3 linked regions of the Lonchura striata genome follow. The protein of the gene in region 2 interacts with the protein of the main gene of each other region in a biochemical or structural test. Links are inferred from orthologs where the notes say so. Each region holds a gene or a part of one and is shown on either strand. Other genes may lie near its edges. The genes, in order: FGFR3, FGF9 and FGFR1.

Evidence for each region.
Region 1: the proteins of FGF9 (region 2) and FGFR3 form a complex in vitro, tested with the Homo sapiens proteins (3 studies listed by BioGRID and IntAct, with this or other methods). The link is inferred for Lonchura striata from reciprocal best matches to the Homo sapiens genes FGF9 and FGFR3.
Region 3: the proteins of FGF9 (region 2) and FGFR1 interact in a biophysical measurement, tested with the Homo sapiens proteins (2 studies listed by BioGRID and IntAct, with this or other methods). The link is inferred for Lonchura striata from reciprocal best matches to the Homo sapiens genes FGF9 and FGFR1.

The regions. Positions count from the first base shown.
Region 1 is NC_134606.1:8,142,251-8,152,096, forward strand, and holds the start of FGFR3 (fibroblast growth factor receptor 3), read left to right. Parts: upstream 1-5,885; 5' UTR 5,886-5,961; intron 5,962-6,147; 5' UTR 6,148-6,198; coding exon 6,199-6,376; intron 6,377-9,846.
Region 2 is NC_134604.1:71,332,413-71,342,470, reverse strand, and holds the start of FGF9 (fibroblast growth factor 9), read left to right. Parts: upstream 1-5,666; 5' UTR 5,667-6,102; exon of another isoform or gene 6,103-6,252; intron 6,253-6,637; 5' UTR 6,638-6,646; coding exon 6,647-6,923; intron 6,924-10,058.
Region 3 is NC_134634.1:4,489,407-4,499,670, reverse strand, and holds the start of FGFR1 (fibroblast growth factor receptor 1), read left to right. Parts: upstream 1-5,772; 5' UTR 5,773-5,811; intron 5,812-10,264. UniProt on the Homo sapiens protein: Tyrosine-protein kinase that acts as a cell-surface receptor for fibroblast growth factors and plays an essential role in the regulation of embryonic development, cell proliferation, differentiation and migration.

The sequences.
Region 1 (9,846 bases), on a different chromosome or scaffold from region 2:
AGGCTCTTTGAACATTGCAAACTGCACAACCCAAGCCATCAATTCCCTCCCTAGGAAAGAGGCTGCTAGAGCATCGAAGTGTTCCTGGAATGTTTGGAAATACTTGTCAAAACATGACTCTGGTTTCATTGTTAGTTTATTAAAATTCAAATATTTCCCTTGTTGATTAAAGGCATTGGCTCCATGAAATGCCTTGAAGTCAATGCTTACCTGCCTCCTATCCAATTTCTTATGCAACTGCTGCTTTCCACACCACAAATGTTTTTCCCTTAATGGTAAATGAAATTATTTATGCCACAATTACTATGCAGAGGCCTTTTGAGGCTGAGGGAGGCCAAACCTCCCTGACCACAGGTTGTATTCTTCATTGTGTTTGATCTGGACATACAGCAAGCTTGTGAGGGGAATCACATTCCTGCAAAAGCACAAGAGCCCTGAGGTAGTTAACACTTTATTGTGACAGAGTTGGACATGGTCCCACAAGCCAAGCTGCAGACCAGGAGTTGATATTTGGGAAGGCATTTTGCCTTCCTGGGTTTTGGAATGACAGAGTGTACCACAGGGATAATAACACTTAACTGTCCCCTAGAGGATTATCTGTTTGTGAAGATCCTCAATTGTTTTTCCTCTGCAGAGCTGCTGGACATGCATACTGAATCTGGAATATATGTTTGTTGCTTCTTATTTCAAAGGCCAGTAAAAGCTGTGGAGTCACACAATCCTGTAATACATCCTGCATATTTAATGTGCTGATTCATGTTTGATCCACCCACCCTACCTCTGCAGCAGAGTACACTCACAGCAGAGCTTGCACCATGCCCTTTGGAAAAATAAAACTACCATGGGAATTGCAAGAAGACAGCCTCTAGATGTGGCTGGGTTGGTATCAGACACAACACTGTGTCAGCACTGGCTTGAGGGAGCATACAGGCTGTATTAAAGTAGAATTGAGCATGACTGAATTTGAGCTTCCTCCCAGGTAAGTCAATCTTACACTGAGAAAGAGCTTGCCTAAAAGTCATAACAATAATAACTAATATTGACCATAATTCTGCTGTCCTTTATAGACGGAAAACCTGAACTTGTATTTATTTTAGGATGTTACTGCTTGTTCTGAAAGTTCCCATGCCACTCACTACTCATCCCTTTCCCTACCTTGGAGTGGGGCAGAAGAGGTGAAAACCCCTGGAGAAAGGAGAGCCACCAGACAATAATACAGTGGGGCCAGGACCTGGGGTAGAGTGCAATGTGTGTGAGCTCTAAAGGGCTGCAGAAAAGGGAAATTTCTGTAACCCCTGCTGCAGGTGAGCAGTCAGGGTGGATGGGCAGCTGGTGCCCTTTGGTGGTCTCTGGCCACATCCAGGAGAGAAGACTTCAAAGGCAGCTGTTGGACTCCCAGAAGCTCATCTTGGCAGTGTGTGATTTCTCCTTACAGGCATCAGCCTGCACAGTCTGCTCAGGGATTAAACAGGCTAAGGCTTCATTGCAAATGCCCCTCAAAGTGAGGTGCCCTGCTACACCCCAAGGGCAATCCTGCTGCACACACATTTGCCTGAAATATCCTATGTGCCCATGGCATGAAGAGGTCTGGCAGGCAGCAGTGATCTCTGTCTCATCCCCTCCAGGCTCCAGCACGCTGCCAGGGTTTGCTCCAAGGACAGGCAACACCCAGCTCGTGCAGGTGGTCAGTGACACCTCTGAGAGCACTTGTGACCCTGGTGCAGTGCCCTGGCTGCACACACACAGCTGCTGTGCTGAGTCAGCATTATTTCAAGGTCTGATTTTAAATCCCTGCTTCTCAAACCCTCCACAGGCTTGCTCCAGTTATTTGTTTTTGTTTTTGTTTTTGTTTTTGTTTTTGTTTTTGTTTTTGTTTTTGTTTTTGTTTTGTTTTGTTTTTGTTTTGTTTTGTTTTGTTTTGTTTTGTTTTGTTTTGTTTTGTTTTTTCTCAACTTTCTCCAATTGCCTGCTTTGCTTTCCAGGCTGACAAATTATTTTACCTCTGCCAGCACCTCCCATACAAAGCTCTTGCAGAATAGATCCAGCATGCAGCTCCAGTTCACTTGTTCCTTCTTATTTCACCTCAGATAAAACAACTCACTCCTTCCCCTTATTCCTTGTCTGTTCCATGCTGTTCAGTGGGAAACAAATCCAGCAGGATAAGATTTTGTTGCAACCAGCTCACAGAGGGTGCAGGCACAGAGAGATCCTTCACAAGGTGTTTGTCTGTTCACAGTGTTTACCCTGACAATCATTTGGAACCTTAATCTTAGCAACAATGACTTTCGAGCTTGAAATTCAATAAACCAGCCTGGAAGTGCAGTTCTAAGGGCTGGCTAGCTAATAAAAAGCGGTTTAGCCGTTCCAATGCACCTTATTGATATAAATGGGTAGTGACATGAGCTCTGGAAAATGTACCCCAGTGCTGGCATCCACTGATGCTATTTAACCCTTGAAGGTTAAGGGTGAACAGCTTGGATTCTAGTCATGCACACTGATACTGATCTCTGAACCAATATTTCAATTCAGTTCTGTGTGAACTTGTAGCATTCGGCTGGGCTGAAGGAACAGCGTGTTACAGCATTGTGAGGCCACAACACCCAGTCTGGCTCACAAGTCAGCTAACAAGACCCAGTTTTGATAAGAAATATTTGGGAATATTTATTGTGTGTACCTAACCTGATATGATTCAGCAGCTTAAGTGACTGAGACTCTGATCAAACTTGCCAGCATATTAAAATTTGAATTAAAGCTTCACCTACTTCAGTGCTCTGTTCTAACTCAGTATTGATTCAGGGATTGCTTTCTGCTGGCTAAGGAAGCAGCTCCTGTGAGTATCAGATGTATGGGGGCAATTTTTGCAAGATCCTTGTTGAGGGCAGCACTGGTGCCTGAGCCTTCTGGCTGCCATGCTACATCTGGCAGCTCAGATGTGCAGGGGAGAGCTTTGCACAGTGCACGAGGTGGGCTGCAGGAGAAGGGAAGTGATCACAGGCTTTCTGACAGCAATGTCATCAAGGCTGACATTGGCATGAATAAAGCCTCTCTCCATGCTTCTCCAGAGCCTCAGTCCTGAGGGCTTTGGGACAAGCATCTGACAGCCCGTCCTGTCCCCATCTCATAGACAGAGAGGCAGAAGGGACTGCTTAAAGCATTCACACCTGGAGCCAATTTTGGTCCCCTTTTTTTGACAGAACCCTTCATGTAACTTAATTTGAGACTATCAACAGGTTGCACTTTAATAGAGAGAGATTAGCAGCCTCCCTCTAAGGTAGGGCTTTGGAGAGGCATGAAGGGAGGGAGGGGGCTTAGCCATGCAAATGCCCCCAGGGCCTGCAAGGCTCTGCAAAAACTGTCCCAGGGCATCCAGTCTCCGTGGCTGAGCCCCCAGTGGGGTCTGGGCAGATGGAGGTGTGTGACAGTGACAGGCTTGAAGCCACTCACTCAAAAAAGGGCTACCACTCACCATCCCTGAGCTGCTGAAAGGGGCTTGATTTTCATCACAGGCAGCTTTAGATATTAAAGGGATAAACAAATATAAAGGTCTGGGAAGGGAATTCTTATAAAGGGTAAAAGGAGAACAAACATGTTGGCAGAGAAAGTATCCCTGCATGGAGGGGAGTGCATATGCTCCTAGCCTGAGGGGGAAGAAAAACTTTGGGGCTAATATATGGCTTATGGCATAACAGTGCTGAAATAAATGCAACTGTGTTGTGCAGGCTTTACTAGCCTATGTACATGGATTTTTTTTTTTTTTTTATAGTAAGAGAGTGGCTGAGACACAGTCCAGAGCTGCAGTTTTTGCTGCACAGCACTACATCCTGGGCTCTCTTACAGTGGCCACCACTGTGACAAAGCAGCATCAAAAAAATCTGTACTTAATCGGGTCTGTGCTCCCCAACACCACATGAATGTTCCGCATGGTTAATAAATAGGAAAACTAAAAATATCCTGCTGTAGGGAAAACTGCAAACCTTGAAGTTCTTCATACAGGACTATCTTAATGCCCATTTGATTTCCTGTTGTAAAGAGCTTCCAAATGTTATAAGCTCTTGGTTTTTTTTCCAAATGAAAACCAGTTCAAAATCATTAAAGGGCTGAGCTAACTTGATACACGGTGCAGACCTTCACATCTCCCAGTAACCTTAAAACTCTCTGGGTTCAGATTTGCTGTTTCCATCCTGTTACTCCTGGAGCAGCATGAGAGTTTTTACCCTTGCCTGACAGAAAGCAACAATCACTGTGGCACTTTTAAAACTCAGCTACAGTGTGAAAAACCTCACTGAATTCTCACCGACGTTTTTATTTTTTTCTGCAAACTTAGGAAAGCTCCTGGTCCTCCTTTGCTGCTCTCCTCTTGGAAAATTGAGGTAGTAATAGTAACAATACTAACAGCAATAGGAAAAATAACGCTACAACAACAATCCTACCCTGATGGCTTTACTTGAGAGCAGAATTTGGCCCTGCTTTTGCAATTTTGCCTTCAAAGTAATGACGCCAACAACTCCTTGTGCAGTGTTATAATTATGCTGCTGTTGTTTTAATTTTTTGTGATTTTCTGGCACCTCCAGCACAGCAGTTATGACAGCAAACATTGTACAGCTTGACGTACTGCCAAACCTTCTCTGTGACGGTGAAATAAGCACATTTTATTTATATGTCTGCTTCTCCCTCCGTTGTTTTAATTTAAAACCGACAGTGTCACTGGCGAGGGTCTCCACTGACATGTAGGATTTCCTCGCCGCAGCCCCTTTCAATGCTTCCCCACACAATGCCACAGTATTGAGATGTCAGAGTCTCTGTGCCTGATAAAGGTGTCAAGAGAGATCCCGGCTGCGGCGACGACAGCGCGAACGCCGAGCCCCCCGCGGCGGCCAGGAGCGATCGCCGCCGCTCCCCTCGCTGCAAGCCAAAGCTCCGCACCGCCCGCCTTTCCTCTCACCCAGAAAAACTCCCCTTGACTCTAGCGCAGGTTGGGTTTTTTGGGCCCCTTCTGCAGGGCATTTTCAGCTCTGATAATATCTGCGTCTATTTTCAGCGAACGAGCTGCTGTGTCAAGTGGGATTAAAGTAGAGCTGTGACTTCTCTGTATGAGGCAGATCAGCTCGCTGTCAGCAGTAAGTGATGCGTGTCGCTTCAGCAGCTCGGCCGTGTCGGGGGTCTCTGAGATGACCACAAAAACCCGAACTATAACTGTGATAGTGACTAGATCATTGCAGTGGTGACTGTAAATGTGACTAGATCCATCTAGTCAGACTTTATTAAAACAGCTACTTCAGTTGGCAGAGGAGACACGCAGAGAGCCGTGGAGCCTGTCATGATTCCCATACACGTATCACAGCGATTATGGGTGTGGGGGAGTGAAGTCAGGGGGCTCGAAGCGGGTGGCTTCACTTCGGGGTACGGAGTGGCAGCCATGGAGGGGAAATGGGTGCATGGGCCATCTGCTGCTCAGGTGCCAGGCTGAGCCGAACTGCTGCACGCACAGAGCTGTCCCCATCCCACGCATCCCCCTTCCCGCCGCCTCTTCAGAAAACGCGCTGTTCCAGGGCCAGGAGAAGGGGACGCGCGGTGACCGCCGCGGGATCCAGCATGGGAGCACCGCGCCAACTTCAGTCTCACGTCTGTGGGAAGCGGTGCCGCTCCGCCCCGAGGGCTCGGCGGGCGCAGCCCCGCGCGGCTCCGGCCGCCCCCCCGCGCAGCCGCGGGGCCGGGCGCGGAGCGGCGCGGGGCGGGCGCGGCCCCCCGCGGCGGCGGCGGCGGGGCGGGGCGGGGCGGGGCGGGCGGTCCGGCCCGGCGGGCGGGGACAGCGCGGCCGCCCCGCTCCGCGCCCGCTGCGCTGGGAGCAGACGCAGGAGCGCCGCGGCGGCGGGCGGGCGGCAGCGGCGGCTCCTGCGGGCGCTCGCTCCCTGCCTCCCTCCCTCGATGCGCGGTGCGCGGCCGGCCGCGGGGCTTGCGCAGGTAGGCGCCCCGCCGCCGCTCGGCGCACGGCTTCGCCCGGCCCCCTGCACTTTTTTACTGCTCCCACCGCTTTTTTTTCCGCCTTTTTACTATTATTTTTCCTGTTCCTCCTCTGTGTGGGCACTAGGGGCGGGGGGTTTTCTCGTCCTCCTCCCCGCGCTGAGCGCCTCTCTCCTCTCCCGGCAGCGCGGCGGCGGAGCGGAGCGGTGAGCGGCGGCAGCATGCGGCGGCCGGGGGATGTCTGAGGCGGGCGGTGCGGCGGCGGCCGCGCTGCCCCGGCGCCGCTCCGGAGGCATGCGGGCGGCCTGGGGCTCCGTCTGGTGCCTGTGCCTGGCGGCGGCCGTCGGCGGGATGCCGGCGGCAAGGCGGGGCGGCGGCAAGGCGGCGGCGGCGAGGAGCGGCGGGCAGCCGGCAGGTAAGGGCTGCGCGGCCGCGCACACACGTGCTCTGCGGGGACGGCCCGGCCGGGTTCGGCGCTACGAGTCCCCGTCCGGGAGCGAGCGGAGCGGGGCGGGTGGATGGAGGCCGCTGGAGGCGGCGGCGGAGCGGGAGTTACGAACGCGGGCCCGGGGCGGTTCCACCTCGCCGTGGATCGGGGTAGTCTGAAAGCCGCCCAGAAGGGACAAAGTGCTTTTAAGAGGATCCCTGTCTGCCAGGAGTTCTCTCAGCCAGGCGGTGCATGGGGCGCTCCGTGGGTAACAGCTGGGAAGATGCTTGCGTGCGTGTGTAGCAGCGCATCTTCGGCACACATCGGGAATGCTCTGACTGCGTGTGTTCGGGTGGGAAAAGTAAGGAAAGGTCATTTATGTCCTCATCTTGGGAGCAAAAGGGGTGTTGCCACAGCTCCGGGTAGGCACAGGCTGGGTTGCAGCTGAATGAGCGGCCGTGCTGAGAAGGGAAGTGCGTTTCGGGAGAGCCGGCGAGGATCTCCCCTGGAGTGGCAGCACTGCAGTTGCAAGTGAAAAAAAGTTAACACGTCGGGCAAAAGCTGGGCTTTGCTTTTTTCTTTCCAAGTAATATACGGCGGGTTTGAAGCATCGTGTCTCTGTGATCCGCCTCAGCTGCTACCTGAGTCCCTGTTTATTTTTCAAAGCTCTTTAATGGAAGGGAGCCCCTTCGCAGCCCCCTGTCCTCCGGTTTGCATGTACCCGGCAGAAAGTTTCCATTGTTCAGGAAAGGGTTCGAAGCCTGTTTGCCAAAAAAGTGACAGGGGAATAAATGGACTTCGTGGAGGCTGGGGGGTAGGGGGCATTACTTTCATACCCCTTTTGGTTAAAGCTATAAATCACACAGGGGGTTGGGTTTGTTTTTAAGAAAGTCCTAATAAAACACCAGATTCTTAGTGTAACTCGTTTGGCTCATTTTTCACAGCCAAAAGAATTGATTTATGGGGCAACATGGCAGGGACTTGGTCAGAGCAGATGAGGTCGGTGTGCGGAGGGCGGCGAGCAGCCTGTGCTGGCCACAGGGCTGCGAGTGACAGAAGCGAAGTGTCCCCAGTTCTCTCTGGCTTAGCCTGAGGTCCGTGTTGGTGCTGTCACTTTTCAGACACAGTCGATCCCGTGGGGGTGAGCAGCAACCTCGGTGGCTGCCTCAGTGGTCCCTGGGCTTCTTTCATTCAGCCCTTAGCTGGGGTCGACGATGTGTTAAGTGGTGCTAAACCCCTCCCGTGCTCTACGATACTTTGGCAAGTTAAAGCTTTGGGATCCTGTTGGAATCGTAGCAAGTGGCATACTCGGAGGTCACACAGAGGGAATCATCCTTCCAGTGATGTCTGTGAAGTGAGTGATGGGTTGGGGTTTCCAGGGCCTCCCGTGGAAATCCTCGGGACAGTCTCTGTTATCTCTTGGTCAGCATTCTCTAAATGAAAGATGTCACTGTCAACTCTTGCTCTGCGCCCTGGAATGGGATTCAGGAAACCAGGAGGGTTCCCGTCAACCCCAACCCCTAGCAACGTCTTGCCCTGTCACTGTGAGCTATTGAAAACTCGTGTGGATGGGAAGTATGAGGGGAGACAGAGCTTTTCAGTGCCAGTGGCTGTGCCACCTCTTCCACGTGCGTGGGGACGCGTGAAGCCACTGCTGCTTCCCCAGCTCTGTGCCAGAGCCAGCGGCTCTGCCACGGTCAGGGCACCCGCTGCCTGTCCGACCTGGGGGGGAAAGGTTGTGCAAAAGAAACTGTAAAGAATATAAACCTTCAGAGCCGAGTAAAAACACATTTTACTTTTTCAGTCTTTTTGAATTGAATGGTAAAAAGCAAATTCTTTCTCCTAGTCAAATGGGCCATGGGGTATTGGCTCATTACTGAGGGTTGTTGTTCGCTGGGCTTTGCATTTACAGTCTAAGGCCTTATTTTCCATAAAGGGGCTTGGAAGGATTTTTCCCCAGTGATCTAATTCTCCGCACGGGGCTGTGAAGGCTATAACAGCTACTGCTTTGTGCCTATACTCAGCTACATAAAACACACATTGAAGGGAGGCATTCTCGAGGTATGTGTATGTTTGCTAATATGAATACTGGCTATTAGCGGAGGTGGAGGGGGTGCAGGTTTTAACATCTCCGCAGGGAGGTGTTCGGCTGTTGGCAGGAAGGAGGCAGATGGCGGGGCTGTTGCTGAATAGAAGCTAAACTAAAAACACCAGGGGCCTCATCTGGGCTGAGTTTCTCTTCTCTCCCGTTCTCGGAGCTGCTGTAGGAAGAACAATGTCAAATTTTCCCCCTCCCTCTTTTTTTTTTTTTTTTTTTTTTTTATGAATGAAAGTAAGAGAGGCGAGGCAGGATTGAATGTGTATGTCATTCAGGGGCTATGACAGAGATGATTAGGGAGGTCAGTGAACTCCTTTGCAGCCTTGAGCATGCGGTCACTCTATTCAGCAGCCACAGAATAGACATCAATATAAAAAAGCCCGTCCAATTTGCATTAGTATTCAGATAAAGATATTACTTCGTACGATTTGTGAATGTCAAGTAATGCTGGCTGTTTTCTTAAGAGAGCAGCCCAACTGAAACAGCAGCATTTAACTTTTAAGAAATTCTGATAACCATCCTGTCTCCAGTAACTGGCTTGTGTATGTGTCTGCACACAGTATATGTGGAAAAAGGCAGTTTCTGGGCTCTTTAGGATTTGTGTTGCACTAGTTAGCTGTGAGGCTGTCTGAGTGCATTGAAAGAGTTGTATAGAGAGCTGCTAATGTTTGATCAGGTTTGTGTGGGGAGGGGAGGGGAGGGGAGAGCTCTCCCAGTCTGTCAGGAGCAAGAACCAAAGTTTCCTTGTGCAAGGAGTGGAATTGTCACCCAGAGTTAATACTGCACAGGCAGTTTTTTTCCAGAAAAACAGAACAAGTACTATTTGGAGATTTTGTTGAAGTTTAGTGGGAGAGCATGTACCAATTCCTATGACATTTTTTGTGTGGAAAGAAGTGGTGATGTGCTGGCCGCAGTGTTTTTCATGCAGCTGATGGCAACTGGGCTCTTGCAGCCTTCCAGCATGAGCTCAGTGAGGGGTCCAAGGTGTAGGATATGATCTGTGTCACTTTGCTTTGTGTGTGTCTGACTGTTTCAAAGTTCATCCTGAAATTATAGGGGTATTGAAGTGAGTGCCAAATGGCACTGGCTGTTCCTGGTGCTGGCCTTGGGGTTTATGTGTTCAAACCCTCTGCAAAGAGTCTCTCATATATTGATGGTGCTGCTTACTTTGTGCCCTACACCAGAAACCTTTAAGATTTAGTGGGTAGCTGTGAGTGATAGTTTTGAGATTAAAACTTGATCCATTTGTTCTCATGAACAGCAGCAGCTAAAGAGCTAGTTAAGTCTTTAATATTGAGACTAGCCTATTTTGTTATATGCAATAAAATGAGAAATAAAAGATGATGAAGCATCAGTTCTT
Region 2 (10,058 bases):
GAAGGAATCGCAAAGACGAATGGCATCTCTGGCTGCCCCATTACGGTCTCGTTCGTCAGCTCGTCGTGCTGCTGGCTGGGGCCGTGGCGCTGGTCGCTCTCCCCGCAGCTGGCTGAGCGGTGCTGGACAGGCGCTCTGCTCGGAGCGCTGCTCCTGCCGCGCTGCCCAGCCCGGCTGCCCGGCTCCCGCAGCACGGCCCGGCCCCAGGGCACGGCCCCGGCCCGTGCCCGCGCTGCCGGCGCCGTGCGGGCGCCGGGCTCGGGCAGAGCGGGCCGCGGGCGCCGGCCCGGCACGGCAGCGCTGGCCGGGGGCACGGCGGGGCCGCCCCGCTGGCTTCGCCCGCTAGAGGGCAAGAGAGCCCCGCACAAGCGCGGCTGCCCCTGTCCGCAGCCCCCGGCCCGCCGCGCCCGGCCCCCCTGCCCCGGCGGGGTCAGCGATGCGGCCCCGTGGGGAGCAGCTCCGGGTGGCCGCTGCAGGCCTGGGCTCGGGGCCATTCGGCATGAAATGTCCTGGGTGGCCACGGTGTCGTGGAGGGAGAGGTAAGCCCTTCCATCGGGAAAGCTCTTAAGGCCTTTGGCCGTTCCAGAAAGCGGGCATAGAGCCATCATGGAGCTGGCACGGACCTAAACCGTCGGGGGGACGGCACACCGGGCTGCTGCCGCGCCTGCCGCAGCGCCCATGGAGCGGTAAGTGGGGCACGCACCCAGCTCCTGCCGGGCTGGGCAGGTGCCGACAGGCGCCTTCTCCCTGCGTGGCAAGGTGGCAAGGACCTGGCTGCTGTCGGCAGCTCCAGTCCAGGTACTGGTAATTAGCATCCAGCTGATGGTCAAGCAGTGTGCCTTGGCTGGTGTACGAAGGCAGCCTCACTTTCAGGCAGTGAACTATCTACAGAGGAAAAATATCAGCGAAGGGAAGAGCCTGCAGGATGCCCTGCAGCCTGCTAGCAAGCCCTGCCGAGACTGCAGCTACAACTGAGCACCGACAATATGGGAGCATGAAGGAGGCAGAAACCTCTGATGAGGTGCTGTGTGCTTGGGCAGGGAAGGTGCACGAAGAAAAGCACTGGCCGTGGCAAAGAAGTTCTCAAAATGAGCAGTTCTGCAAGCCTTGCCACACAACTTGCGTGCCACGTTGAGGCCTCTGTGGTCACCTGCACACATGGCAACACTGATTTACTCCCTTTTTCTCCTTTCAATCAGTGGCACTTTGGCTCTTGAGGTGGACGGACTTGCAACACAGTGGACAATCAATTCATTACTAAAATCAGCAGATACAAGCTATGTATAAATAAACACATCACAGAAAATTCAAACATATTTGGCAGCTTTCACTCTTACATCACCCTATCTATCTTCAAGTATCACCAACAAGGACATGTATTCAAAAAGACTGTATTGACACCTGTGTCAATGCACTTTACTTTATCCTAATAACTCCTTCCCTAGGATGATGACAAAGATCATGTTCTGCCAGTATTTGTTTATGTGATTCACTAATTCCTGTACACTGCAAAATACCATAACACCATGTCAAATATCCCACTGCTGTTGTGTATCGCATGGTGACACTGACACTGGTGTTTTCCAGGAATTTTCCATCTAAACTGCATGTTTTACACTAGTGTAAAATTTTGATGAACTGGCCTTTTCTTGCTTAATTTTGGAATTTTTTATAGGAATCTTTTTGGTCATCAATACTGCTATTTTTTCCTACAGTCTCTAAAATGAGAAAGCAAATACATTCCTCCAGTTTAAATTTTCTGAATTTGTAGACATTTCTTTTATTAATCCAGCTAACCTGAGTCCTATGGCTTTTTGTTTTGTTTTGTTTTGTTTTGACAAATGTTTTCTTTATTTCCAGTCAATCTAATGTTTGATAATCATGACTTTCAGTCATTTTTCATTGCTGAGATCACATCAGTTTTCTTTTGAGTGTTAATTTGTGTAGCTGTATTAATAGTTCAGTGCCCTCACCAGCCATTCTGGGGAAATGCTCAATCACATGTACAAGGCAGCAGGTGGGATCTATGCAGTCCTATCTAGACCTCTGTCATGTAGAAGTCTACATCAAATATAGGCTTCCTCCATACACGAGGAAGAATTAAGCATCTTTAACGCATGAGTCATGTTATCCTAAAGTAGATGCCTAGAATAGGTCAGATGATTTGTGCCCTAAAATTGCTTCTATTTCTTTGTGTTAAAGAACAAATCATTTATATCTTGATGTTTCAATTCTAGCAGCCTCAAGTGAGATGAGATTAATTAATAGTCTTATATCCAAGTTTGTCATGCTTTGAAATACCCTAAAATTCTTATTTGTTGAGAAAACTGAAAATAGCATTACTTTTTATCATATTCACCATTTATATATTAAAAAAAAAGCTTTTCAAAGTTTTCTGCCTCAAGACATTTTAGTAAAAATGGCAAATGCTATGTGTTTCATGGGAAAGTCATAACACCTCTCTTTTTAATAACTAAGCCGTTCAGTTCTCTGTCTGCAAGATTGGAAAATAAATGAGTTAGATACATTAAAGGTCCAGAATAAGAACTTGCTCTTGGTGAAATTATACGAGGGGAGTTAAAAAAAAATAAAACCCAAGAAAAAAACTGTTTTGGCAGGCTGAGTTATTTTTTATATGATACTCAAAAAATTATATGTGAAAAGATATTTTAAAACTAAACTAGGTGGCAGAGTACAGGTGAAACAGTTTTCTTTTAAAAGTGTCATAATATCTATAACCTGACAGAGGTGCCACATTAGTGTGGTACATGTGAAGAGAATGTGTGCCAGGAACTCCTCAAGAAATGCAGGATCGTTCTGACCAATTCTGCTCTCAGGAGTTCAAATCCTGCATTAAGCTGATGAGTAAGCTTGTGATGACTCACTGTGGCAGATGCAGTCTTTAATTCCAGGAGGGTATAAAGGAAGTGGGTGTGAATCTCGAGTAGAGGGGAGCTAGGGATGTTCCTGCCTCAGTGTCTTGGGGATAAAAGTGTAGGTTTTTAATACAGCCCCAGCTATCAGCAATGCCAAACTTTTGTAAGGGGTAAGTTTGACATTACACATCACACACAGATTTTATGTGAAGCAAGGTTGGAATACCACCTACTCACAGATGGGTATAATTTTGGGGATGTCCTGCATAATTCATGTGTGGCTTTGATACTTATAAGTAATTCAAACATCAAAGCCTCAACTTAGATAACACTTTTATAACACTAAACTTCCTATAGCAAATAACCTTTAGGCTTTAATTTAAGTTCCCTCACAAAGAAAAAAAAAAGGCAACTACACCAATAGTTTCTTCTTTGCCTTAAGATATTTTTCATAAGGTAAGCTGATGTGAAGTACAAGATAGAAAATCCTGAAGCCTGGAATAAAGAAAAAAAAAATCATATAATACTCTTCACTGGGACTAGAAATGTAAATTAAAGCACCAGAAAGGAGCTGGGAACCTCTTTCCTGAGAGCACAACAGATACCAGGCCCTTATGGTCACTTGGCAATATTCCCCTCTGCTTTACCAGTGGCACAAACCTTTACTTTTACACTGTCCAAATTTTTAACAAGCGATTTTATGTTCTCTTCCAAGTTAGCCATTATGCATGGAAAAATCTCCCTATTAATAACCGTAAAGCTCCTTTATTGTTCTCCTTCAAATCTCCTTAAAACTTCCTTCTGACACCAAACACTTGTCACTGGCTGGGCCTGTTGCTTTTTATTCTCAAGGCTGTTTTTCCCTTATCCTTCCCCCATGGGTTTGTATTATACACCTGTTGTCTTTCATCATGGGTTAAGATCATAAGCTCTTTGGGCATAGACCATCTCTCTTATTACATGTGTCTACAGTATCCGACACAACGGAACTATGAGCCCTGAACGGGGCCTCTGGGTACTGCCATGATCCACTTGATAAAGAATGATGATTTTTGACATGGTGAGTTCTGCAGTTTTTCCCAAGTCATTCTGCAGTTGTTCGTGCTGATATAACCAGTGTGTGAGAGCAGTGTCCTTAAATCCTTAAAAAGAAAAAAAAAAAAGAAAAAAAAAAAAAAGAAGCTAAATGCTTCAGAAATATTTGTGGAGTGCAAGGACTTTACTGCTTTGCTGTTGGGCTTTTTTTTCTGTTCCTGCATATTGAAATGCATGGGCTGATATGGAGCAACTCTTTGTAGGTTTGTACAGAACTAGAGTGATATGACCCTGCTCTGAAGCTTCTGCATCCTGTCCTTCAAATTGCAATAAAGACTGTTAGAGTCAAATAAAAAGGGGGGGTGACTTCTGCACCACTGGTGTGAGTCAGTTCCCTAAAGGTCTGTGTGGATTCAGGACACAGCTTTTCCCTGCTGCAGTTTTCCTGCTAGACATGGAAAGTAGTCTCTCTCCCTCCTTTTGTGTTTAGTCACATTGGCAAGTAGAGGGATGCAGGAAAGCTGCACCAGTCAGAGCTGGACTGCTGGCTTTTATGATGGGGAAGGCAAAGAGAGCCAACCCCTCCACCGCATGCCCATCGAGCAGGACATGCAGAATCAATTATTTTTAATTCACCCCTTTGCAAAATTCTCCTCCTCTAGAGTTCTCTTTCCAGGCTCCACCAACGACCTTCTTGGACCCCGCTACCTCAGAGGTGCACATCATCATTCACACTATGCAATCTCTTACCCCAGCTCCCAAGATATGTTTCTCCTCCTTTTCTCCCTACCTCTCTCTCCCACCACTATTCCCAAAAGAGCCTGTCTTTAGGTTTTGTGCTCAGTTCAAGGGGCTGCCAGAGTGTCCTCTCCCTCGTGCAAGGTCCGCATCGTGCCCAGTCCTTGAGCTCTGCTCAAGAACGCTTTTGCAAGTGCAGGAGACCTTCTGTCCCTTTGCTGATTCACGCAGCTCTTTTCGAAGGGCAAAACCACAATTCTGGGCATCATAAGAAGAAACAGAAACCTCTCCGCTTGCCGAGTCCCTCCCGACAGTTTCAAATAACTTCATTTTGGGGGACGGGGGAGGGGTTGGGGGCAAAGAGAACACGTATTTCGCACTGCACCCCTATCTCCCCCCATAACACCTCCTGCTCGCTTCTCCCTTCCCTCCACCGCGCTCTTACAAACCGGGGCCGAGCGAGGAGCCACGGGTGGCCCGCGGGGCGTTCCGGGCGGTGGCAGGGCCCCGGCTCTACCCGCACCGGCAGTAGCATCCCCGAAAGTGCCCCCGGTAGCGCAGGGGCAGAGCGAGAAGGCTGCGGACTGCCGGGGCGGGGGGCCAGAGTGGAGAACTGCGGCGTGGGCAATACCGAACCCCACCACCCGCCCCAGCTCCCGAACTTCCCGCGCCCCGCCGCTTTGATCGCCGGAGCTGAGTTTGAACCCCGCTTGGGACAGCGGCAGCCCGGTTACCTGCGGCAGAGCGGGCCGGGGCCGGGCTGCGGAGCGGTGCGGGGCGGGCTCGCCTCCGCCTCCCCTGCGGCGGGGCCGGGCCCCGGGCTGAGCTCCGGCTGGGCGGGCAGGGCGCTGCCCGCCCCGCTCCCCCCGCCAATGTCAGCGGGGACTCGGGCTATGCGGGCATCTCCCGAGGAGCCCGCTTCCCGCAGCGGGCGGGCGCGGTATATTTAGCATCGCGTCGCTTTATTCCTCCCCCAAAGTTTCGCCCACTTATTTATTTATTTGCCGGCGAGCGCCGCGCTGCCGCAGAGCGGCAAGAGCCGCTCCGCGCCGTGCCGAGCGCTGGAAGCGGCTCGGTATTGCAGCAGGTAGGGCTGAGCGCTAGGACCTCGCAGAATCCTTCCAGCAGCAATCAGGACTACCTTAAACCCAGCCCAATGCCTCTTCCTGCGCCACTCTGCGTGCTGGATGGAGATCCACAGTCAAGAGCTGCAGCTCAGTGCTGGAGTACAACATTTCACAGGGAGCCCTGCAGAAGCAACACCTGTTTCGAGCCAGCCAAGAAAGACACAAGCACTTGTATGTTGCTGCTTTGCTTGTGGATCGTCAATAATCCTAAACCAGTGGACATCTGCTGAGCCTCCTGAGAATTCTGGATAATAGATTTGGACGTCAAAAGTTTTTTTTCCTTTTTCTTTTTTCCTTTTTTTTTTGGATTTATCTCAGCCAACAACGTGAGATTTCCCCCCTCCCCCTTTGCAGGATTCATGCTGATGTATGCAGTCTGTTATAGAGTAAAAACAGCGCATGCCTTTCTGGAGTCAGAATCCATAAATCCTGACGTAGCCTGTGCATCTTAAAAAAAAAATCCCTATAACGCCTAGGTATTTAAGTTGCTATGGTCATTCTTATCTTAAACCAAATGGAGAAACTACGGATTTTTTTCTTTATTACAGTTGGATGGGCTGAAGACCTTATTGCTTGCTAAGAGCTGGGGATATATGCATTTATATAGATATACACATCTATATGTTTATAAATATGTCAGTGTGTGAGTATAAAGTGGTGGTTTCTTAGACTAACTGGTTTGACCTTGAACCTGTACCAGTCAAAACAGAATATTACTTTTATTTATGCATTTAATGGATTGAAGAAAGAACATTTTCTCTGTAACTGCGCTAGGGAGGGGAGAGGAGTGGAATATACCTAATCTTATATCTCCTGGGTTTGGCACCATCATTATTGTTTATTCTCATTCTCTAAAAGCAGAATCTTCTGATGGCTCCCTTAGGTGAAGTTGGGAACTATTTCGGTGTGCAGGATGCAGTACCCTTTGGGAATGTGCCCGTTTTGCCGGTGGATAGTCCGGTTTTGTTAAGTGACCACCTGGGTCAGTCTGAGGCAGGTGGGCTACCCAGGGGGCCTGCGGTCACGGACTTGGACCATTTAAAGGGGATCCTCAGGCGGAGGCAGCTATACTGCAGGACTGGATTTCATTTAGAAATCTTCCCCAATGGTACTATCCAGGGAACCAGGCAAGACCACAGCAGATTTGGTAGGTATTTTCCTTAACCCTTTAGTGATCATGTGATGAAATAATGGGGCAGAACTGCGGGCGGGGGGACGGTGGGGGGTGCGAGGCGGGCGGGAAGGGTGGTTTGTGTTGATGGCTGATCCGCCGAGGGGAAAAATGAATGTGTCCGGGGGTGCAGATGTACACGAACGGCACCACCGCGGCGGAGCAGGAACCCTTGCCTGGTGTTCGGTAGCGATGTTTGTGTAGCCCCAAGTTCTGCTTAAGAGCAGACGCGTACTGGGAGGTGGTGGTGGTGGAATTTTTGCTCGGGACGTTTCTGCTGAATGATTTGATTTCGCAGTTTAAAGGGTTTTTAATCATTAACCACCACAATTTAAAATTCACCGAGTTTCCTGGAGGGAGTGGCTCTCGTCCTATACGCAAATTGACGAGGGCTTTTCTTTCGTTTTCTCTGCCGATTACCTGCCCTAGTAACTTCCCGAATTGCACACCCTGTCTGGTTCGCTGCTCGGCGAGGAGTGCGCGGCAGCGGACGCCGACCCGCAGCCAGGCTCTCCGCCCGCCCGAGCCCGCACCCGCAGCCGTGCGGCAGTGCCGGTGACAGGCGCCCCTGGAAAGAGGGAGCGCAGGTGGGGTTCGGAACCAGCGGGGAATCCTGCGCCAAAACCTGCCTTTCTCGAGCTGCGTGGCGTGTCAGACTGGCAGAGAATTTGAAAAGAGCATTCCCTGGGTTTCCTTTCCAGGGGACACTATTTGTGACTCAGCAGCGAGGGCTGGAGGGCTGCTGGCCGCGGCCGCTCCGGAGAGCCTGTGCATGCACACACACATGCACATGCACACGCGAGTCCAGTGAGCCTGGAGCTTCTCGGCTGCCGGGGGTCTGTTAAAGGCCCGGCAGATTGAATGTATGAAAGTGACTAAAACAGCCTGGCTGAGCTGATACTTTGGGGTTTTTTTTTAAGGAGGGGTGCGGAAAATATGCCAGGTTAGCTCGCCACGCTCCCAGCTATTGGAAGGAGTTAACTTGTGAGTGAACCAACCTGACAACGCTTAAATTCGGTCGTAAAAACAAAGTCCTGTGTTGATTCTTTTTCTCTCTTTGTATTTTAATGCCAGATGTTGAACGATATCTAAGCTGCATTTTATTGCTTTGTGAAGCTATTTAGATAATGCTGGTGTTGTAGGAGATGATCTCCAAACGGCTCATAAGAGAAGCGGGGAGGGAGGGACGGGGGAGGAGAGGACTGACGCTCTCGCATGGTCGCAGGTTCATCCTCCATCCCCCTCCATCCACTGCTCCCTGACACTCTCACGCTTCTTACAGGCTCTTCCTCCCTCCCACGCCGCGCGCCCGCGGTCTCCGGGGCTGGGTGCGGGGTGGGGGCAGCGTCGCGGCTCTCCCGGGGGCGCAACATCCACGCTTACTGGCGAGAAAAAGTGCGGAAAGTGTTTAAGGCAGACGCGTAGTGAGGGGAATGGGGCTGGTGAGGAGGGGGTGGGTGTTGCAGCTAGGCGTTTTCCTTGGCACGGGCAGACGCCGCGCGTAGCTGCTGAGCCACCGCCGCATGTTCCCCTTGCCCGCTGCGGTGCGGGCGCGGGGCGGCGGGCGCGGCGCTGCGCGGGGCCGCGGGGGAGGCGCGGAGCGGGGCCGCAGCAGGTGTAGGGCGCTGCGCGCACCGGCAGCCGGGGCGGCGGGGGGCGGCCGCCCGCGGGGCCCCGCCGCCCCCGGAGGAGGGCCGCCAGCTGTTCCCTTCGCAAGGCGGCGGTGGCCACATTATTCGTGGCGTCTATTTTTAAAAATGGCTTTCCAGCCGCAGTTGTAGGAAGCTGACAATTCCGAGGGTCAGTTCTTCCACCCCTTGCAGCGCCTTGGCTTTAAATAGATTTTTTTTTTTTTTTTTTTTTTTTTTTTGGTCGGTTTGATCTCCCTCTTCCCCCCCATCGGGACACGCCTCGGTGATAACTCTTTTCCGCATGTAGCGCGCGGGTGATGCCCCTGCTCACTCCGGGGTTGGGAAGACCGGGCACGGCAAACCCGTGGGGCTCCCAGCTTCTCTGCGGGAGGGAAGGGGTTTCGGTACTTTTGTATCCGTGCCGTGACATTGCTGTTGTGTTTGCCGGAAGGTCACAGAATAGCTGGTGCTATTTGAGTTTTGGTGATTTTGAAGTCTTCTGATGATCCTGGGGAGGTCTGCATCCCAACTTCGGGAGCTGCCCCGGGGAGAGCGGGCTCACACGTGTGCGGGCAACCTGCATGAGCGTGTGTGGATGCGGGGGTACGCGTCAGAAGGAAGTTTTTCTCTAGGAATAAGGAGGACAAAGAGAAAACCCCGGGGGCCGCGCGTAAACTCCTCTCTGGGCTCTGCCCTGTGGGAATCCCCCTCCCCTCACACACCTCTGGAGAGACATCAGATAAGAGTAATTCTTTTGTGATGCTATGTTGGATGCGTGCCTACTGCGTACAATGAACCGAGCCATATTGTGTGTCTATACTCGCCCGGTTCTGGGAGCCCTGGCATTTCGCAATTCCTGCAGCAAGATGTCCATCTCTAAAAGAAAAGCTCCCCGAGAGAACTCGGCTGGGTCCCCCCCGTAATGTGATCTCAGATAATCAAAGCCTTATCTCTCCCGGGTCACAAAAGAAATTTTTTTGATGCAGTCTCCTTTAGCGTAGGGCATTGGCTAGACAGTAGAGTCATTGTAAATTCAGGAACTCTTTAACAGCGGAGAGGCGTGTCTCTGTGCGTCAGCACAAGTACTGCATGCACAGCATTAAAAAAATAGGAGCATGCAGGAAAAGGAAAAAAAAAGAAGCTTGTCAGCAGGTGACCTCCGCTCCCCGGGACCTGCTGCTACAAGGAACCGCTGCGTTCATCATCTGCGGGAGCCGCGCAGCCGCCCGCCCGCCCCGCCTGCTCCGGCGCTGGGCTGGCCGGGCGGGCTCAGCGCCGGGCGGGCGCGGGGGCGGCTCCGGACGGGGGTCCCTGCGGCTGCCCGCCCCTCTGCTGCTGGATGCGGGTGGGCGGGCCTGCCCCCGCCCCGTGCTGTCTCTGGGGAGAGCCAGCAGGCCGGGGCGGGGCGGGGGGAAGGTGATGCATGCGGCTAAGGCCCTGGCCCCCGGGACTGGGAATCGTGGGACAGGTTTTAGGCGGA
Region 3 (10,264 bases), on a different chromosome or scaffold from region 2:
AGGTGCTAAACCTGCTTGAGTTTGTTTTGCATTGCTTTCACTTTATACTCGTGCGGGGGAAAGTCCTCATCCTGGCTCTTGCCCCCAGCTGTGGCTTTTTTCCCTGTAAACATCCAAGTAGTACTTGAAAGAAAAAACCAGCTCCAGTTAGTGGGGGAGGAATTGTGGCCGTGGGTAATGACACATAATGACAGCCCATCTCCCACTGGAAGGAGCTGCTGTTGGGCTTCCAAATGACAGCGTGCAGAAAATGCCATTAGCAGATTATCCAGCTGAAGAATCTTTGCAGTAACAAGAAGGTGAAATGCATCTGGCCTTGAGAGAAGGAGCTGCCAGCTCCATTCTCAGCCCTGTCGCACACAGGAATGGGAGAGGCAAATCCCATGTCCGTACAGATCTCTGCACCAGCCCAGGCTGCTCTGCCCTGGACACTCACAGGGATCCCACCAGGTCCAGGGACCAGTCCCCATGTCCCCGGTTCCCAGCAGGGAGAGGACAATGTGTGGGTGCTGAGAGTACTGCTGGAGGGGTGTGATAAAGGGAGAGAGTCCTCATCTGAGGAGAACCCCCAAGTGATTTGTCTTGTGCCTGTATCACTATAAAGGCTGTGAACTACTGACATTTCTTATCTGGAGCGTCCTCCCCCTGTGAAGACAAGATAACAGCCGAGGAGGTGGCTGTTGCTGCTCTGATGGACTTCAGCACCTTTATCTGCCCCTGGAGATCTTCTGGGGCCAATCCAAAGATATCAGGAGCATTTCTCAGGGTGGGGAGCCAAGGGGACAGGATGGGCAGTGTCCTGGCCCTGCCCTGGCTCTAGAGACAGTCGCTGCCCTGGGCAGCCATCAGGTGTCCACAGGGGAGCCCGTCCCTTCTCCAGCCCACAGGCAGCAAGCTCAAGGATGCTCTGCTCCATTCCAGCCCTCTGAACTTGCCTGGGTGTGTGGGCACTTTCAAGGAGCCCAAGAAGCCTCGGCATGCATCAAGCACCAGGGCAACTGATGGGAAGAGCTGGAGATCCCCTGGGACAGCTTATTAAACATCCCAGCCCTGCGAGCAAGCTGGGCTGGAACAGAATGACATTCATACAGCAGCTCAGCCTCAGTGCCAGAGGGGCAATGTCAAACAAACATAATTAATTTCCCTCTGCAAATCAATCGGGGGCAGAAGTCAAGCTCTCCCAGTACAGGAGATAGACTGCAGTAGATAATCATCCTACAGGATGAGCGTGAGCCTTGCAGCTCTTCCAGGGGCACCTGCTCACCTCCCAGCAAACCAGAGCCTCCCCGTGGGCAGGAGCTCTTTGATGCACCATCAGTGAGTAACTGCCTGCCTGCACTGCCCAGGGCAGGGAGCTGAGCCTGGCAGGACTCTCGGGCAGCAGGTTTCTGGGATGGATAGCTCAGCCCTTTACCTGGCAGCTCTGGCAGTGTGGGGAAGGCTTTGTCTTGGTGCCAGGAGTGCCTGTGAGGATGCAGAGCCCTGAGCACCATTGGCCCTCATCTCCCCTGTCCCTCTGCCTCGGGAGGCAGGCAGATATCAGTCTGGGGACATGCAGGGGTGCTGGCCTGGCTGCAAGCACTGCTGGGGAGTTGCCTGCCTTGACTGCTGTCTGCAGACAATAAAATATCATGTGATGTCTTAATGAGCCCCTCGGCATGTGACAATTGCAGGGGAGTGGAGCTCCTGCCTGGCTGGAGGGGTCAGTCCCAAGCTGTGAGGACCATCAGGAGCTGTCCTGTCCCAGCCAGAGGCTGTCAGGACTCTCAGCCCTGTGATGGGGCAGAGAGCTTTCATCAGCTGTGATTGAAAATGAGATACCACAGGAATGTCAAAGAAGTGGCAAAAACAGCTGGGCTGGGTGCTTTGAAGGCAAGGCTGGGTGGCATCGGTGTTCTGCTGTCCCTGGCTGAGCTTGCTCCATCAGCTCCTGCCAGGTCTCCTAAAAGTGCAATTGTGGTGCCCCAAGCACTGGTGGTCCTGGAACAGGTCCTCACCTCCAAGAAGAAGATGATGTTTGGGCAGTTTGGCAGGCAGGGACTCCTAAAAAATGTGTTTCCCAGAGGAGCAGCCAAGTAGTGGTGGGTGGGGGAGGTTATGGTGTTGAGAGGAAACCAAGAAAAGAAAAAGCCAGTGTGGGTCCAAATGTCTTGGCTGGACAGTGGCCTGTGAGAGGGACTCGAGTTCTCTCAGAGATGGCATCAGCAAACCCCATCCCTGCATGCCACTGCTGAGCTGCCAGCCTTGGGGCAGCGTGCCAGGCGCTCTCTGTGACCCAGATGTTCCAGATGATGGGAAGCGCTTTGCCAAGGCCAGGCAACACACCTGGAATCCCTGCAGGGTGCAGAACAAACCCTGCGACACCTGGAATCCCTGCAGGCTACAGAGCAAACCCTGCGACACCTGGAATCCCTGCAGGCTACAGAGCAAACCCTGCGACACCTGGAATCCCTGCAGGGTGCAGAGCAAACCCTGCGCCCTGGCTGTGAGCGGAGAGTGGGAAAAGACACCAGCCATGTCTTGGGAATTAGCACAGAGGGTGACACGGGCACAGCCTGCCCTCGGTGCTGGTTCCCATCTGGGGACACACAGGCGTGTCCTGCCCGAGCCCCAGGCCCGGGCTGCGTCCCTGGGACCGCGAGTGAGCACATGTGCACGCCCGGCTCTGCCCCGCGGGGCTGGGGCACGTCCCACACGCGTGTGCTCTCCTGGCCGGGCTGGGAGCCGCCAGCTGCCTGCCAGGAGCCCCGCACCCTGATGGGCTCCAGCCTTTTCAGGGAGAGATGGAGCTGACAAAGTCTTTGTCAGTCAGATCTGTCAGGGAAAGCTCTTTGTTCTTCAGCATTTGCTCTTGCCTCCCCCTCTCCAAACCTAAACTAGATGCATCTGCTTTTGTTTTCTAAATGCAGAATTAGGGGCTGAAAGGAGCCCCTTTGTAGTGGGGAGGAGGGGAGAGCTGCAGATCTTTCACGGGGAAGGCAAGGTCAGGGGGGAGCCGCTCTATTGTGCAGGGCCTCTCCTCTGCCGGCTCAGCCCTTTCTGTGCCCCCTCTTCACAGTCCGGCACTCTGGGGACGTGGGGAAGCCAGCCCGGGAGGACGGGCTGCTCTCCCCAGCCCGGGAGGACGGGCTGCTCTCCCAGCTGCGGGGACGGGTCAGCTTTGCCTGCGGTGGATTTTGCTGCTTCCGATGCCGCAGCTGGGAGCCGGCGTGTGGAGGCAGCAAATGAGGAGGAGGAGGAGGAGGAAGATGAAGACCACCCCGTGGCCTTGGGCTGGCAAGTGGAGGCGGGCAGTCTGACAGAGCTGAGTGTGCAGATGGGCACACGTGGGGCTGGAGGGGCTACACGTGTGCACACGTGTGTGTGACTCCGTGCAGGGACACAGCTGGGGCGTGCGTGCTCCCACGGGAGGGCAGAGGTGGGGGCCAGCAGGTACAGCCCCCGTGTGTGCTGCGGGAGGAAGGGGGGTCTGCCAGAGGCTGTGCAAGCTGTGGGCTCTGGGATCCATGTCCCAGGGAAGCTGCTTCCCAAATGCCTTTGTTCCTCCTCAGACAAGAAAAAACCCTCAGCCATGACAATGCTCTCCAAGCTCTGGCCTCCCAAGCCTCAAAACTGCACCACCAATGCAAATGTGTCCACGGAAGAGCCCTGCACATCACACGCTTCCTGCCCTGGTCCAGGAGAAGGGCAGGGGCCCAGCATGGGCTGCTGATGCCAAGGAACTGCCCCAACCCCTGCAGGGCAGGGGGCCCTGAAAGGGCCACAGTGAGCTCTGGCTTGCTCCGTGGTCTCTGCTGCTCCTTGGCGCAGCCATGCCCCTTGCAGACCCCCACCTGCTCCAGGAGGTCATTCCCCCTCCCTGTCCATCCTGAAGGGCTTGCTTGTGCACACACCAGATGGTGACAGCTCATGGTCACTTCTGTGCTGAGCCCCAATGTGATGCTGAGGCCAAGGATGCAGCCAGATCTTTGAGCCTCCCGGGAGCAGGGGATGGTTTTCCCCATTTTCTGCTGTTTCCAAGCACCTTTATTGATAAAGGCCCAAGAACTGGTGCTCTGTTGATGCAATCATGCAGAAAACCATGCCAAAGGACCAGCAGCCCCAGAGCCTGTCCATCATGAGGGGTTGTAGCCCGTAAGGTCTGTTTTGGAGACAGCATAGAAAAGTCTGGGGCAGAAGCCTAGTGGGAGTCATGGATAGCAGGGTACAGCAGCTGTGGGTTCCCCAGCAGCCTCGGCACCTTCAGCCCAAAGCTCCTGGCTGCTGGGCAGTGAGGAAGGCAGGCCTAGGGATGGGTGGCTGCACCCTAAGTGTACACTGGATGAGTAGTGCTTGTGCAGGGCTGGAGTTGGCTCTGCCATCACTGAAATACTTCCCATCTCCAGCTTGCTGGGAGAACATCCCAGCAGGTGTGTTACCTTCCCCCCTTCTCCCTGTCCACAAATCTGTCAATCTGGAAGGGAAATATTCCACAGGTCTTGGCATGGGGAGCTGAACGGTTGCCTGAAGCAGGAGGAGGCTGCTCCTGGGGATGGATGCCCAGCATTTGGTTCAAATCTAACACCGGTGACTGACAGGGCTAATTCATCCTGTCCTCTTCCCTCTTATAACTTAATCACTCACACATTGCCTCGGCAGGTCTTTCCCTGCTGACTGGAGATGTCTTCATCCTGGGATGCCCTGACTTGGACTCATGACTGCTCCCACATGCTTCCCACATGGAGGCTGAGTGCCCTGCACCACCCGTGTGACCCTGAGCCAGTCCAGCTTTGGGGGAGCTCGTCTGAGTGCCCAAACTGGGGCTCTGTGAGCTGGCCTTCCATACTGGGGGCTACAGAAGTCACGCTGGGCTTACTGGTGTGACAATATCCCACTCTGCCTTTTGGCTTGGGAACTGAGTGTGGCCCCAGCTGAGACTAAGCCAAAAGTGTGTGCTGAGAGTTTTGGGGAGCTCTGTGTTAGAGATGCCATGGTCCTGCTCCAAACCTCGGTGAAAACAGCTGGGAAGGGCAGGGACTGCAGCAGTGGTGGCTCCTGGGAAGGACTTGGGGCTGATGATTTGGGACCTCTGAAACATCTGCCCTGGGCCTTGCTCTGCAGAGGGGCTGGCTGGGGCTCCAGGATGCCCAGAGCTGTGCCCACCCTGCTGCCTGCATGCACTGCCCGCATCCCGCTGCCTCCACACCGGGTGTTGCACTGGGATAACGGGGGGTGCAGGCAGGCCCCTCACCCCAGCCGGTACCCACGGGGCCTGAGGCTCCCCTGGTGCCAGCAAGAGCCACAGGGCAAGAATGCAGCAGTGAGGGGAACATCACGGCCAGCATCCCTGTGCTGCCCCGAGCCCAGCCTGCCCTGCCTTCGGGGCGATCACCGCCCGCAAAGCCCCGGGGGACGTCTGGAACGCCACTCCGAGAGGCCAGCGGGGTCTCCAGGTGGGGGGGCGGTCCGGCTGTGACTACAAGCCCCATCAGGCCGCTGAGGAGGAGGAGGAAGGCGGAGGAGGAGCCGCGGCTGTCGGCGGGGCGGTGCGGGAGCGGCTTAGTTCGGCGGCGGCGGGCGCTCGGCGGGACGCGGCGGGCGGGCAGCGGCAGCGGCGGCGTCGGGGCGGCCGCGCCTTCGGGAGCGCGTCCGGCAGCGGCTCCGGGAGCGCCTCCCGCCGCCTCCGCCGGCCGGGCCGGACCGGGGCTGCCATGGGGCGGCCGCTGTGAGCGCGGCGGCGGTGGGGCTGCGCCTCTCGCCCCGGCCGGGGCTCCCCTCCATTGTTCCCGGGAGCGGCGGCACCGCGCCGCCGCCGCCGCCCGCGGGGCTCCGGTGAGTAACGGCCGCCGCTCTCCGCGCGGGGGGCGGCACCGGGACCGCGGGGCGTCGCTTTGTGTTCCGCGGGGCTGGCCCGGGGGCTCGGTCGGGGGACGGGGCTCGGTCGCGGCCGAACCCCCCCAGGTGCGCCTCGTTGCCCTGGCGGGGCGGCTCGACGGCGGCATCGGCGCGGGGGGGGCTCCGCCTTGAGGGACCCGGGGGTTTGCGGGCAGCGGGGCGGTCCGGTGTGCGGGGCTCGGGGGCCCCGGGCCGTTCCCGGGGTGCAGCCGCTCGGCGGGCAGCAGTTTGGGAAGGCGGCGGGTCCGACCCCGTCCATCGGCCGAACCGAGACTGGAACCGCCCCCACCGTCCCGACCCCGAATCCCCTCCCGGCCGCGGGGGAGCCTGGCGGGAATCGGGGGTCGTTTTCCGAGTCGCTGCCTGGCCCCTTATTCCCCAAAAGTAGCTGAGCGGGAGCCTTGCGGCTTCCAGAGAAAAATGGAGAAGGAGCTGTGTTTGGTGTGTTTCAGTTCTGGGATCCCGGGGCGGTCAGCGGGAATGGAGGCGCTGGAATAACGCCGTCCCAGAGCTGGTGCTTCCCTTTGTGTGTCCGCGCCGGTGGGGCTCCCGGAGCCGCCGCATCCCAGCGCCGTGCGGGCTCCGGGAACCGCTCGTCCGCCCACGGCGGAGGCGCCGGGAGTGCGGGGAGGCGGCGGCGACACCTGCGATGGCGGGTGACCGCCGCGCCGATGCGGTCACCCTCGGCACCCGGAGGGATCGGTTGCAGAGGGGTTTGGTTGTGCTTTTTGTGGTTCTGGGGCCGGGAGACGTGGAGGTGGCCGCTGGCCGCGTGTGGGGACGGAGCAGAGCGTGTGTGCGTTCAGGTGACGCCGAGGAGCTCCACGGCTGCCTCGCCGTTCCCGTTCTGCCCGGGTTACCGAGTTACTGCCCCGTGTCCCGGACCGCGGCGGGCCGGGGCAGCTCCCTCCCGGCAATGTTTAAACCCGGGCAGTCGGTGAACCCAGCGGCTCTCACGGTCGCGCTCGGAGGGACGCTGGGGCGGTGCGCCGCTGGAGGCGGTGGTTTCTCCGCCGGGGCTCTCCGGTGCCGACGAGCGGGATGCCAGCACGGGAGGGGGCGCACGGAGAGCCCCCCGCGCGGCGCGGGGACGCCGCGGGAGCGAGGGCCCTGCAGCCCCCTGCTCTGGCTCGCAGCCATCTTCCCCACTCGGGAGCACTTCCTCCCTTAATCCCTGCGCTGGCTGGCACGCACTGCTGCCTTTTCCTTGTGTTGCTCCCAGAGGATTAAAATAAATCGCCCCTGCCCCGGCAGGGTGCAGGCACGAGTGGTGCCGGGCTGAAGGCAGCCGGCGGGAGCCTCGTCTGGGCTGTTCTGCACACAAGGTGCCTGCCCTGGCCATGCGGGAAGGGTCACTGCCAGAGGTGAACTGGAGCTCCCTCTTTACCTACCCACCTAAAAACATAACCTGAGCCGGCAGCCTTATTGTCTCCAGCCCCAGGTGGAGCCCCCCCAAATCCTGGCTGCTGGAAATGGCTGCTTGCAGATGCTCATCCCATCCTGAAAATCCAACTTTCTGACCCTTTAGGGACCTTCTGCTTCTGGACATGATGGCAATTGTGTGTCCTTCCCCTCTCAATGGCTTTCCTTGGAGGAGTGCAACGTAGTGAAAACCCAATCCAGCTCCCTCCCGGGCTGGGTAATGGGTCTCTGTCCCTGCCTGGGATGGCAGGCTGTGATTGTGTCCCAGTGTCCTCGTCCTTGACCAGTCTCCTCCCAAAGCAGTCAAGGGGTCCAGCCCAGTACAGATTTTTGGGTATCAGTGGTTGTTTTGTATATCTGAAAATCAAGTCTTGAGGTAGGGAGGGATCCCTGGTGTGAGGATGCTTCTAGAACTGTGATGGTTTTGTGGAGATCTGTGGGTGTGGCTGGGCGTCCTTCCTGCCCCATGTCCCAGGCTCTCCCACCACTGGATACCTTCCCACAGCTCGGTGCTGGAGGTGGCCCTGGTAGCCCTAAGACCTGGCAGCCAGCTGGGAAGGGTTAACATGCTCTTTATGCTGCACAGTTGGATATTTATTTTTCCAAGCATGTGTCTGCTTTAAGCATTACAGGTTTTCCCTACAGTTCCATGTGCAGTTATGTTTGCCTTTTATTTCAGCAAATACTTGGTTCTTGACCTGAGCCACAGGTTGGAGCACGAGGCACTGGGCAAGGGAAAGGCTTCGCTCCTGCCGCCCACGGATTGTGCCTTTGGTGTGTCCTTCTTCCCCAAGGGCAGCTGGAGGGCTGCTTTTGTTGTGCCTCAGAGGAAAAGGAGTCTCTTTTCATGTGCTTTGGAGCTGAGGGGCATTTGTGCCAGGCAGGGTGGTCTGCTGGCAGTCACCACCTCCCCTCTGAGGGACAGGGACTGCGCCTGATTGGGCACAGTCTGCCACCTCGGGCTCCTGATGCTGTGCAGACCCAGGAATTGAGCTCAGACTCCTCTCCCTGCTGGATTTGGCCTGTCCCTGTTCTTTTCCTGCCTGCTGTGTTAGCCGCTGGCTGCTGGTGCCAGGGCAGCCCGGACGTTCTGACGTGGTGAATGCCACGGGCCATCTCTGCCCCAGCAGGGAGGCAGAGGAAAGGAGCCAGAGCCCCCCAGCCCCACTGAGCCCATGGCAGCAGCCACCCCCATCACATCCAGCACACAGGGATCAGACTGGGGCTCCCCTGCAGATGTCACAGCATTGCAGGGCTCCGACCCTGGCTGGACACCCTGCTCCTGCACCAGCTCCTGTGCTTGGCACCTCAGCTGCATTCCAGAGATGAGCCACAGGACAGGAAGGGGCTTCCCCTCTCAGAGCCACTCAGCTCAGAGCCAGGGGGTGCATCTGCTGTGCAAGTGGGAAGGTCCTGTCTGTGCAGTGTCCCTGGGACAGCTCAGCCCTGTGACTCAGGGCTGTGGGAGATGCGAGGAGCGAAAGTGCAGCCCTCAGGGTCCCTGAGGGCAGTGAGAGACAGGTTGCACAAGACTCCTCGTGGACACACTGGTGTGCAAAGGCAGTGTGAGAACATCTTTCCTGGTACACAGGGAGCATGTGCCCCTGGAGGGTGCATGGATGGGCACAGGGTTGTCCATCACCACTCCAAAATAGCTCTGTGGGTGTAATGGCTGGTTGTAATTGCAGTTTTGGAGGCAGGTCTCCGAGGGGCACTTAGCCCTGGCTCCTCTCTAGCTGCTTCTGTTTTTAGTTGTTTGAATCCACCCCGGAGCACTAAATTGCAGTGTGCTGGGGCCACGGGGAGTGGGGATGGTGCCCAGTGCCTGGCAGGAGCCAAGACCCACCCTGCCCAAGCTGCCATCCTCCAGAGCAAATGGTTTCCTGTTGGGATTTATATAAAAGCTCTATAAACACTGAAAAGAGCCATGCTGTTGTTTGCACAGGTAGAAGCACTCTCCCCACTTCCTTGCCTCCTTCCCATGTGGACACCAAGGAGTCATGAGGGCAGGTGTCTTGGGGTTCCCCAGTTTCCCCTTTTCCCTTGGGAAGGAGGAAGAGGTCTGTGCTGCCTCTTCAGCATCTCTGAGCACTGAGATTCCCTCGCATGCTGCTCCAGGAGGAGCAGTCAGGGTGCGTCCCAGTCCTCCTACCCTCCAGAAAAGCCATGGCTGCTGCACCCTCCCTCACTGCCCTGGGAAGCTGACCATCCCTGTGTGCTCTTGCTGGGTCCTGGCACCCTTCCCTCTGTTCCTCCCTTCCTCCCTCCCAGTGACCGTCTCAGCCACGGGACAGCTCTGTGCTGCCGAGCCATCCCTACGCCATGGAAATATCCTGCTGTCAAGCCCCTGAATCAGCTGGAAGGCACCCGCTCCGAGGTGTATCTGGAGAAGGGCTCTGCTGTGTGCGAGCCAGCACTGACTCATTTTTCAGGAACTGGAGGCACTGGGCTCCTCTCCATCCCTCCATCCCTCCCCTCGGCGCGGGGCCGGCTCGGGAGGCCCACGCAGACGCTCCGCATTAGGGCATGTTCCGGGGAGCATGTGCTGTCGATAAACAAAGCCACTGAGAGACAGAAAATAATTTCCAGAAATACCAAAGACCTTTCTTTTCCCCCCGCTCAAAGAATTCCACCTCCCCTTTCCAAACCCAGATAAATCCCGAACATTCAACAACTATGTCCAAGCACTACCCAGTGCCTGGGAGCGCTGGTGTTGGAGATAACACCAGTGTTTGCTGGGTGCCCTTTTCCCTGCCCGACTCCTTGTGTCAATAGTTTGGGTCCCAGATATTCCTGTGACAGCCAGAGCAGTTGGGCAAGAAGGAGGCAGCTGGAGCCCCCACAGCTGCACCCCAGCTGGGCTTCCTTTGGGTGCAGAGGCTGTAAGCCCTTTGGGGCTCGTGGTTGCTCAGCCCATCCCTGGGGAAAAGCCACCACTCTGGGCACAGGCAGCGCAGGGTCTCACACT